Macaca fascicularis: one gene and its partners. The protein of the gene in region 1 purifies or fractionates together with the protein of each later gene. This does not show direct contact. Links are inferred from orthologs where the notes say so. Each region holds a gene or a part of one and is shown on either strand. Other genes may lie near its edges.

What was found. The genes of interacting proteins can lie anywhere in the genome.
Region 2: the proteins of DDB2 (region 1) and COPS5 purify together in Homo sapiens (affinity purification with mass spectrometry; 10 studies listed by BioGRID and IntAct, counting the BioPlex papers as one, with this or other methods). This does not show direct contact. The link is inferred for Macaca fascicularis from reciprocal best matches to the Homo sapiens genes DDB2 and COPS5.
Region 3: the proteins of DDB2 (region 1) and COPS7A purify together in Homo sapiens (affinity purification with mass spectrometry; 5 studies listed by BioGRID and IntAct, counting the BioPlex papers as one, with this or other methods). This does not show direct contact. The link is inferred for Macaca fascicularis from reciprocal best matches to the Homo sapiens genes DDB2 and COPS7A.

What each region holds. Positions count from the first base shown.
Region 1 is NC_088388.1:18,629,363-18,633,023, forward strand, and holds the start of DDB2 (DNA damage-binding protein 2), read right to left. Parts: upstream 2,862-3,661; 5' UTR 2,673-2,861; coding exon 2,546-2,672; exon of another isoform or gene 2,361-2,545; intron 1,470-2,360; coding exon 1,333-1,469; intron 948-1,332; coding exon 756-947; intron 1-755.
Region 2 is NC_088382.1:77,046,771-77,050,519, reverse strand, and holds the start of COPS5 (COP9 signalosome complex subunit 5), read left to right. Parts: upstream 1-1,531; 5' UTR 1,532-1,664; coding exon 1,665-1,807; exon of another isoform or gene 1,808-1,815; intron 1,816-3,749. UniProt on the Homo sapiens protein: Probable protease subunit of the COP9 signalosome complex (CSN), a complex involved in various cellular and developmental processes.
Region 3 is NC_088385.1:7,643,856-7,647,604, reverse strand, and holds the start of COPS7A (COP9 signalosome complex subunit 7a), read right to left. Parts: upstream 2,393-3,749; 5' UTR 2,286-2,392; exon of another isoform or gene 2,188-2,285; intron 1,823-2,187; 5' UTR 1,780-1,822; coding exon 1,618-1,779; intron 1-1,617.

The DNA of each region.
Region 1 (3,661 bases):
GGTTCAAGCGATTCTCCTGCCTCAGCCTGCCGAGTAGGTGGGACTACAGGCGCGCGCCACCACATCCAGCAAATTTTTTGTATTTTTAGTAGAGACGGGGTTTCACCGTGTTGGCCAGGATGGTCTAGATCTCTTGACCTCGTGGTCAGCCCACCTTGGCCTCCCAAAGTGCTGGGATTACAGGAGTGAGCCACCGCGCCCAGCCCAGAAGGGGCTTCAATTCTATGGATGATCAATAGTCTATATCTTCTAGTATTTTAAGGGCAGGCATTAGAAAAATATATACCATCACCATTTACGTATTTGAAAATGCCCACAGTTACTTTTGATCCCAGTCCTCTTCCTGACGATTACTGGGTGACATCAATATCCCTTTCATTCCTTCAATAAACACTCCTTATTTTTATTTTATTTTACTATTTTTTTTTTGAGATGGAGTTTCACTCTTATTGCCCAGGCTGGAGCGTAATGGCGCAATCTTGGCTTACTGCAACCTCACCTCCCAGGTTCAAACGATTCTCCTGCCTCAGCCTCCTGAGTAGCTGGGATTACAGGCACCTGCTACCACGCCCAGCTAATTTTTGTATTTTTAGTAGAGACAGGGTTTCAGCATGTTGCCCAGGCTGGTCTCAAACTCCAGACCTCAGGTGATCCGCCCGCCTCGGCCTCCCAAAGTGCTGGGATTACAGGCGTGAACCACCGTGCCCGGCCAGCAAACACTTCTTTAGCACAACCTGGCATGGGGAACTGCTCACCCCTTTGATGAAGGTGGGTTTGTCCTTGATGCCAAAATTCCAGAGCATGATATCTCCCCCTTTGGAACCCACAGCCACAGTGCTGGGGTGAGTCGGGTGCCACGCCAAGGATGTAGCCCTCCTGTCAAAGGGGGCAGCCTTTTGTAATATCCGGTAAGAATCCAGAGTGTGCAAAAAGGACTGCTGGAGCCCCTGCCACAGAGAGAAATGAATTAGGTTGAATTAAAACCCAAGTTCTGGGTAAACTGCCAATCTCTGCCTCCTTCATAGATGAGCCCTAGAGCCAAGTCCTCCCACCAAAGGAAAGCTAACCGCCTGCCCTGTGCATGAAAATATTTGCAATGTACATGAACTAATAATCTGGGAAAGCAAAAGGGGCAGAGTGCATTCCAGCTGGGACCTTTACAACATAAGACTTTTTTTAGATGGCTGAGTGCCCAGTAGGCCAGTCACCACAGTCTGGGTGATCGGACCACTCTGACAAGCTGGTGAACCAAGCCATCATCTAATTTGGGAGCATGCAATAGTAAAAATGCACGTGCAAACCCTTGAGGACTTGAGGCAAAAAATGCCTTACCTGCTGGACAGATGGCCAGGAAGCTCTGCCCAGCTTATGCTGGTGGAGGGTCCTGACGATGCTGTGGCATGGCGGCAGGATCTGTGGGCCAGCCAGCCCCGCCCAGAGGCAGTCTGAGTCACCTCTTCTGCTAGGACCTGCCAAGCAGAACAGACATATTTTCCTCTCCAATCTCACGAAAGGTTTTTCTGCTGAATTCCCTGAAAGGAAGCCTTGTTTCATTCGGCATGGCTAATCTCTGTCTCATCATCTCCTGAGGCCTTTCTGTGTCTGTGCGGTCTCACCCAGCACCAGAAATAAAAAAAAAAATGAGTAGGGATTTGGCCCCTTCCCCAAAACACTCCTCCAAACAGTAAGACTGAAATGAAAGTAAATAATCGTGCAGGGTTCCTGAGACCCCAGCCAAAGAAACACACAAGAATAAAGTACACTGCAGAACTCTTCCCAGTTTGGGCTGCAAAACGAGATGGGACAGGGTCACAATTTTATAAATCACATATAATGCACAATAAAAATATTTTAGGGGAGCATGGCAGAAGTCACCGTTTAGGAAAAGAAGGAATAGGAAGGCCTGGAAATGCTCTTAACTAGGTTACTTCTGGGGAGGTGAGTGAAATTAGAATAGCAATAAAGCAACAACTCCGGATCACCAAACTTGCATTTGAGGACCCAATCACTATAGGTCCGACGTCCTGACAACCAATTCTTTCTTCACATGGACAAAACCCACTTGATTAACAAGCCCCAGCTCCAGTTTTTGAGTGTCTCGAAACTCCTTATAGCCCCAGGTTCAAGCCCCAGTAAACCTCAGAGAATGAGCTTTCTAAGGAGGGAAGGAATTGGGGGCTCTCACAACTGACCACCTAGCACGTGCAGCTAACAAGCGTGACTATGAAATCCAGCACACACAGTGCCAGGAAAGGTAGGATTCTCTGAAGCCGTCCAAACTGTGCAAGAACCCTGCTACAAACAAGGAATCTGACAAGTCCGTGTGTCTGTTGTTACGGAGCTTGTCTGCTTCCTGTCACCTGGCGGGAGAGGTGTTGAAGCCTAAACGCTCTGGTGTCAAAGAACCTGCAGGTAGAATGCACAGCCGGAGGCATCCGTGACCTGCGCCGGCCTCGGGAGCCTCGGAGCACCCATCCCCCGCTGCAGCCTCCTGCGCGAGCACCCCTAAAGGCGGAAATATTCAAGCAGCAGGCACAGGCAGTACCGGAGCCCTTCGCACAGAGCTTCTTGGCCTCGGGCTCCAGCTCCCGGGGACTCCTGCTCCTCTTGTTCCTGGGGCGTAATACAATCTCGGAGGTCTTCTGGGTTTCTGGGCGTTTCTTGGGAGCCATCGCGTCCTCCGTGCGAAGGGGTACTGTGCTCTATGCGAAGATCATGGAGGGAGGATTGAGAGACCTCTGGGGAGAAACAAGGCGGGGACTACAAAACTGCGGGGCCACAGGTAGCCGACTAAGCCAACTTCCCGCCAAACATGCCCAGGGCTTGTTCAAACCAGCTCCGAGCTCCGGCCCCACCCGTCTAGGAGACCCCGCCCCTTCCTGGAAGGAGGGGGCGCGGGGAGGGGGCGGTGCCAGCGCTCTCGGGAGGGGCGGGAACTGCGCCAGGGCCTGTGCCAGCCCGGGTCAGCTGACCTGCCCGGAGCAAAGATGGCCCCCGGCTTTATGTTTTATTTTTTTCAGCCACAGGGTCTGGCTCTGTCGCCCACGCTGGAGAGCAGTGGCGCGATGATAGGTCAGTGCAGCCTCCACCTCCTGGGCTCAAGCGATCCTCCCACCTCAGCCTCCTAAGTAGATGGGACTACAAGCGTGCGCCACCCCGCCCGGCTAATTTATCTCTCTCTCTCTTTTTCTTTTTTTTTCTTTTTCTGGAGAGACGGGGTCTCGCTATGTTGTCCAGGCCGGTCTTGAACTCATGGGCTTAAGTAATCATCCAGCCTTGGCCTCCCGACACGAACCCTCCTCAGACGAGGCGCTGCCAGGCCTCTGCGGGTCCGGGGAGGAGGCCTGGTACCAGCCAAGGCCCTGGCTCCCGCCTTGCAACTGGTGATGACTCCCGCTCGGGCTTTGGGATTGGCTGGTAGCTACAGGGTGTAGTTGGGGCGTGGCGGCTTTGTAGAGAGCTAGTGCCTTTCCTAAGTTAGAAGCTGCGCTGTACCAGCGGTCAGCTTTGCAGTCGGAATCCAGAAACTACAGCCCCATAGAATCCAAGCTGCTTCTCTGTGAAGGGAGAATGATTGGAACGCCTTGCCTTTTTTTTTTTCTTTTTTTTTTTTTTTTTTGAGACGGAGTCTCGCTCTGCCGCCCAGGCTGGAGTGCAGTGG
Region 2 (3,749 bases), on another chromosome or scaffold:
AGCATTTCAAGCAATGCTGACCACATATGCAAAGCCAAAGGAAATATATTTGCATTGCTAGAACGAAAAGTTTCAGGGGGGACTAAAGAGAGATGAAGCTGGAAGAGGTGCGTAGGGGCCAGGTTGTTAACAGCTGTGGTGCTATCTTTTCTTTTTTCTTTTTCTTTTCTTTTCTTTTTTTTTTTTTTTTTTTCTTTTTTGAGACTGGCTCTGTCTCACAGGCTGGAGTGGCGCGATCTAGGATCACTGCAACTTCCGCCTCCTGGGTTCAAACGATTCTCCTGCCTCAGCCTCCTGAGTAGCTGGGTCTACAGGCGCACACCATCACGACTGGCTAATTTTTTTGTATTTTTTTAGAGACTTCACCATGTTGGCCAGGCTGGTCTCGAACTCTCGATCTCAAGTGATCCGCCCGCCTCGGCTGCCCAAAGTGCTGGGATTACAGGCGTGAGCCACTGCGCCTGGCCTGTGATGCTATCTTTTCAGGAAAGGAAAAAAAAAAAAAAATCTTGAACACCTATGCTAGGTGCTAGGAGATAAAACAAGGAACGCAGACCTGCTCCCTGTGTCTTGAAACTTAAAATCTTGCATGGATGGAGAAATGAGATGGAGAAAAAAGAAAACCTAAAACACGTAAACTAATTTAAAAAATAATTGAACATTGTATTAACTGTAGGAAGAAAACAAACCAGTTGCCGAGATTAATTACGCTTTGGGAACAAATGCGGTTCACAGGAGTACCAAAGATTTAACTGTAACCTATTATAAGAACTGAGTACTGGACATTTTCAGAACAGTAATGGCACATAATTCACAGCAGTGCCAAAGATTTAACTGTAACCTATTATAAGAACGGAGTACTGGACATTTTCAGATCAGTAATGGCACATTATGCATATGTAGATGTTAATTTTTACCGACACCCAAAAAGACATGACAATAGCAATCAAGGAGTACCCACTGCCTCCTGGCATCGATAGAAAAAGCCCATCTGCAAGTTAAGTGCCAAGCCACCACGAGCCCGTTAGCTTTTACGCATGTGCAGTGAGTCATCTTGAAGTAAACTGGAATGCCATGTTTATCTTCCTCTCAACCAGCTTCCAGAACGACTTTTAGCTCAGTTGTACAACAGACGGCCTTACCCTTTAGTCTTTCAACAAACATCTCATTTAAGGTACCTAGACCCACACAAAAACACTTTCTGCCCTCCACATCCCACCGTTAAGGCTCCAACTACCTTTAATATGGCGGAGACCGAGCCTGCGCAGTACAAGCAGAGAAGGCAAATAACAGTTTCTGGAATAACGTTACATGCCCTTCTTCCGGTATGGAAGACTATACCATTCCCATACCCTATAATTCTGTTTGTTCTATTTCACACATACAATTTTCCGAGACAAGATGTTCTAATTTAAGTCACAAGAAGATTCGTCTCTCCCTATTCCTGTAACTGCTGCTTATATCGTCACGTCCCGGAAAGGTCCCTGTCTTCCCTGAATGGTCTCTACCAAGTTCACCTCCGGTTCTAGGTGTCATGGCTGCCCCGAGAGTCTAGGTAAGAGTTTGTTCCCGTGGTGCGGAGGGTCAAGGCCCACACCCGGAGACCTAGCGAGGTAAAGTTGCGTCTTGGTTGTAGAGACGACAACTTCTCCGCTTTCTCTGCAATGGCGGCGTCCGGGAGCGGTATGGCTCAGAAAACCTGGGAATTGGCCAACAATATGCAGGAAGCTCAGAGTATCGATGAAATCTACAAATACGACAAGAAACAGCAGCAAGAAATCCTGGCGGCGAAGCCCTGGACTAAGGAGTGAGGAGGTCCCTGGCGAGACGCAGGGGAGGGAAGGGTTGGCGGGAGTTTAAGAGACCCAGAGGGAGAGGGAGGTGAAAGGGGTGAAGAGCTTTCACCGACGGGGAGGGGAACAGAATATGCGCCTTGGATCTGCAAGTAGAGCCTAAGCCCTCCGCTGGGGCTTTGACTCCCCTTTCTGTCGCTTTAATCCATTTACCCCCGGATGATGTAAGGGGAGAACAACAAGCGGTGATTTAAGTTGTCACTTCTGAACATCCGTATTGTCATATATGCCGCACACCCTGCCTTGAACCCAGTGGCGACATGCACCTTATTTGGGTCTTCAGCTATTCCCTTACTGGGGACCGCAGTTGTTTTCAGAAATCGAGTCAGCAGCTCAAGGTCTCAAAAATAGCTATGAGCTATTTTCTTTTATTTTCTTTTTTAACTAGAGGTGGGTCCTCGCTATGTCGCTCAGGCTGATCCCGAGCTCCTGCCTTCAAGCGATCCTCCCACCTTGGCCTTCCAAAATGCTGGAATTACAGGCGTGAGGCCTGGGTCTATAATAGTTTTTTGATTGCTGATAATTATTTCGGAGGCACACGGAGGCTCTACCTGGTCTCTACAATGTTACTCCATCAGTTCCCATAAGCCAGAAATTTTAAAAATAGAGCTTAAGACTTTTTGCCCTTCAACAATACCCATTTTTCCCTGGGAGTGGTGACAAGTCGAGGGATCTTTACCCATAATATTTATGTTTTCCTGAGAGCATCTCCTGAGAGATTTCCTGCTCTCAGGAAAAGATAATTATTACGGGCTATGTTTGAGAGAGAGTAAAAGGAGCACAAAAGCTAATGGTTAGATAGAAATGAGAGCTGCAGTCAACAAGAGGACATACTTCTACTGCCTCACAGTTTTTTTTACAAAGCTAGCCTTGTCTCAGTATTCAGATTCCACAATGGTGAATTGCGGAAGCATCTAGCTAGAGATTTCCACGTCATTTAATCTTTATGACAACCCAGTACAGTATATCCATCCTTTTTTTACAAATTAAAAAACAAGCAAATACATTATGTAATTTATGATCACACTGAGATAAGTGAACTCTTAGCTGAGCAATAGTCAGACCTAAGATCAAACTTCACAGCTGTCACTAACTAGTTGACTGACCTTAGGAAATTTACTTATCCATCTTCATTTGTCATAGTATGGAAATAAGACCTACCTATTGGTATTGTCATAGAGATTAGGTGAGATAATGTATAAAAAGAGTCGTCTAGAATATATGTAATAGGAGCACAGTAACTTGTCTTTCTTCTTTTCTCCAGTAAAGGGAGAAGCCAAGATTTCGATTCATGTCTTGATTTCCAACATGAGGTCTACACATTTTTCAGCTTTTGGTTGAAATCTGGCAAAGCTTAGGAATTAAATTTGGATTCTTTCTGTGGGCAGACATCTAAAAAGGCTTTGTAGAGACGTTGACTGACTGCTCTGTAAGGCTGCTTAAGTTGCTTGGTTGTCTGCTTGTTTCTGTAGCAGGTTGTGCATTTTAGGTTTGTGTACTCTTAAATATTTGGAAACTGTCGGCCTGCTTCACTGTCTAATTGTGGCTCTAATTATATTCATCCTAGCTGTCTTGGGCTGCACTAATGAGACCAAAATGTAATTTTATTCAAGAGTTTAATTCACTGATGACCAACTCTGAAATAATGATCATAGAAGACTAGGATATTATGGCTACTTTTTAATTTGAGGCTGATATAACAGGGAAGCCCACCCTTCAACACTCTGTTCTTTGAGAGTAGGGTTAAGAGACAGGTTAATAATGCTGATAACAGCTAGCACTTATTAGGGTTCTAGTATGTGTAAGGTGCTAAGCTAAGCACTTTATATACATTATTTCATTTACTTTATCCTAATAACAATTATGACTATCCCTATTTACAGAAAAGGAAACCTA
Region 3 (3,749 bases), on another chromosome or scaffold:
TAGCTCTGTGGCCCAGGCTGGAGTGCAGTGCCCGGATCTCAGCTCACTGCAAGCTCCGCCTCCCGGGTTTTTTTACGCCATTCTCCTGCCTCAGCCTCCCGAGTAGCTGGGACTACAGGCGCCCGCCACCTCGCCCGGCTAGTTTTTTGTATTTTTAGTAGAGACGGGGTGTCACCGTGTTAGCTAGGATGGTCTCGATCTCCTGAACTCGTGATCCGCCCGTCTTGGCCTCCCAAAGTGCTGGGATTACAGGTTTGAGCCACCGCGCCCGGCCTTTTTTTTTTTTTTTTTTGAGACGGAGTCTCGCTCTGTCGCCCAGGCTGGAGTGCAGTGGCCGGATCTCAGCTCACTGCAAGCTCCGCCTCCCGGGTTTACGCCATTCTCCTGCCTCAGCCTCCCGAGTAGCTGGGACTACAGGCGCCGGCCACCTCGCCCGGCTAGTTTTTTGTATTTTTTAGTAGAGACGGGGTTTCACCGTGTTAGCCAGGATGGTCTCGATCTCCTGACCTCGTGACCCGCCCCTCTCGGCCTCCCAAAGTGCTGGGATTACAGGCTTGAGCCACTGCGCCCGGCCTCAGCTAATTTTTTGTATTTTTAGTAGAGATGGGGTTTCACCGTGTTAGACCGTCAGGATGGTCTCGATCTCCTGACCTTGTGATCCGCCTGCCTCAGCCTCCCAAAGTGCTGGGATTACAGGCGTGAGCCACTGCGCCCAGCCCTGTTTGTATTTTTAATAGAGACAGGGTTCTGCCATATTGGTTTCACCTCCTGACCTCAGGTGATCCACCTGCCTTGGCCTTCCAAAGTGCTGGGATTACAGGCGTGAGCCACTGCACCAGGCCAAGTGCTTCTTTTTCATCACCTTGATGGATACTCTTTAGTTCCACTGCAGATGAAAGCAGGGAAAAGTCAGCCAGTTTTCACCATATCACAGAGTGATCCAAAAGGTTAAACCACAGGCCCCACATAACTTAGCTCAGTTTACCCACATATCACTGTCAGCATGTCAGGACTCAGGCTGCCTCCTCTGTAAATTAACTCTGCCACTTTTGTGTGAATGGTTCTCTCTGCTGTGTTCCTAGTGTTTGCCATGTGTCTTTGGGAAAAAGACACATTCTCCCTTAGCTACCTTGAACAGATTAGCATATGCTGCACATAGGGAAGAATAGGGCATGCTAATTTAACATGTTCACTACCCACTTGTACCAGACTTTACACTTTCCCATAATCTCACTTTATTCCCACAACAGAGGGGGCAGTATTGTCTCCATTTTTAAAAAAGAGAGCTCAGGCCCTAAAACAAAAGTGACCTGATCAAGGTGACATGAGAATTAACAGCTATTACGCTGGTGGAGACGGGCTGGAAATCAGATTTCCTATTCTGAATAACATGCTCTTTTGCTTAAAATGAAAAACAGTGGACTTTACAGATCCTTTATCTCCAAAGGAAAGCTGGTTTGCTTGTTTACTGGTTACTTTTGCAAGTTGGCATTTAATCATCACTGTTTTCTTGTTCAACTGAATGGTATGGGATCACAAATTGAGCCCTGCCCACCCATTCTCAAATTCAAACCTTTGCCCATGCTTCTCTGTGGACTATTCAAGCCAGCAACCCACCTCTCTAACATTGGGCATGTCCAGCAGTTCTCCAAACACGTAGACACCAGGGGCCTCCAGCACCTGATGGATGAGTGTGGCCAGCGCTGCCCCCTTGGCCGACTTGGCTAGGAGCAGAAATTGCTCCTGGTTCTGCCCTGTCACCTTCACTTCCGCACTCATGACTGCACTGAGCTGGGGGCACCTGGGCTCAGGATGTCCAGAGCTGCAAGGAAAGAGAATGTGAAGCTAGAGATCCCCGATGGCTGGTAGGATGGGAAGCACAAGGCTGAAGGACTGGATTGTTATAGGTACTAAGTCGGTTCTGCGGTGAGGAATCACACATGGAGCGGTCTAGAATTCTGATCTACAAATCCTAAAGTCAGCCACTTCACAAGGCTGCCACACCCACCCCCTCCCCCGAGCCTAACCCCAAGCCCCATCATGTGCACCGCCACTGAACCCCAAGACAGGATGCAACGGAGAAAGGGGTGTCGCATGGTATCCACACTAACGACGACGCTCCCTCAGTTCTCCACTCCTGCCCCGCACGCGCCCACAACCACGTGACCTCACCCCAATGAAGCTTACACGTGGCTCCGCCCCCTCCCTTAAAGACACCGCCCAGCGACCGTGGGCTCCCGCCGACTGCTTCGTCGTACCCTGGGTCAGGCTCTGCGGGCCGCTACCTGGAAGCTTCGCCCTCCAGCGCACCGGGCGGGGCCGCCGCTCCGTCACCTCCGGCAGCTGTTCCAAGCCTTTCCTGCCACCTCCCTGAAGAGTCGCTCTGGCCACTAAACTCTATGGCGGGCTTCCGGCCGTACTTCCGCTCTAAGGACGCAAATTTCGGCAGGACATGCCCCGCCCCCGCGTTCCAACCGCTGAAGCTCCAGTGAGGGACGCAAGCATTCTACTCTCCGATTGGTCGCCGGGGGAAGAATGACGGGCGCCTTTTTAAATACTGTATTTCAATAAAACTTTATTAGTGGAAGATCGCTAGCCACTAAACACAGACGTCTTTGGCGGGTCCCCTGGTCTCGGCCGACTCTGTGTTTGTTCTAAGCCGCTGGAGAGCTGGAGATCAGGACTGCCCTGGGTGCCTGAGGCAAGAGAAAAGCTGTAATGGAATGAGTGAAGAAGCGGGAAAAAAACGGGATGGGGGAGTAAGGGGCAGAGAGGAAGTAAACAATAATCAATAATAGAAGTTTAGCAGCAGAGATCACCTAGGTCGTTCAACCACTCACTTTTTTGAAGAGCAGGAGAAAAGAAGTGAGAAGAGTAAAAGATAATAATTGCTAACATGTATTGAGTGCTTACTATTGGTCAGACATCTTTTAAAATTTTATTCCGTTGAATCCTCACAAATATTCCCAGTGTGACTTCAGGACACCCTCTACCATGATTACTATATATGTATTAATACTTGTAGAATGATGCTTTCAGTACATGGACTCTTAGTTTCTTGGGGCGGAAAAACCCCTATGTTACTCATTTTACAGAAAAGGAAATTGAGACTCATAAAAATCCAAGGATTTATCTGGAGCTTTTCAAACTCAAAACCATCTTTCTACTTCAACATACTTTAATAAAAACAAAAACAACTAACATTTATATAGTGTTTTATATTTCACAGCAGGCTTGCAGAAGGTCAAGTGAGGGTAAAGTTAATGACATCTTGGCCTTTGTGTTAAGCTACGAGCATTACTTAATTCATCTGATACAACAATCTAGTAATTGTTATCTCCACTTTCCAGATGGAAAAACTGAGACTCAGGAAAATTAAGAAACTTATAAGTAATGGAAAGACAAGAAAGTGAAAAAGAGAAAGATAAAGAGAAATAGAACTCGTAGTCTGTTAGGGCTAAAGGAACTGCAGATGCAGTTTATGGTCCACATATTTTGGTTTGTAATAGAAAATAAGCAGAAACACAGAAAGGAAAGGGAAAGGAGGAAGAGGAGAAGAAGAAATGAATGGAAAAGGTGAAACAAAAGTGAGAAGGAATCAAAGGCATAATAAAATATTAAAACTTTGAAGGAACCAAGGAATTAATGAGTCCAAACTTATTTTTTTTTTTGCATCCACCCCTCCCCGCCCAAGCTTATCTTTTCTTTTTTATTTTTTTTTTGAGCCAGGATTTCGCTCTTGCCACCCA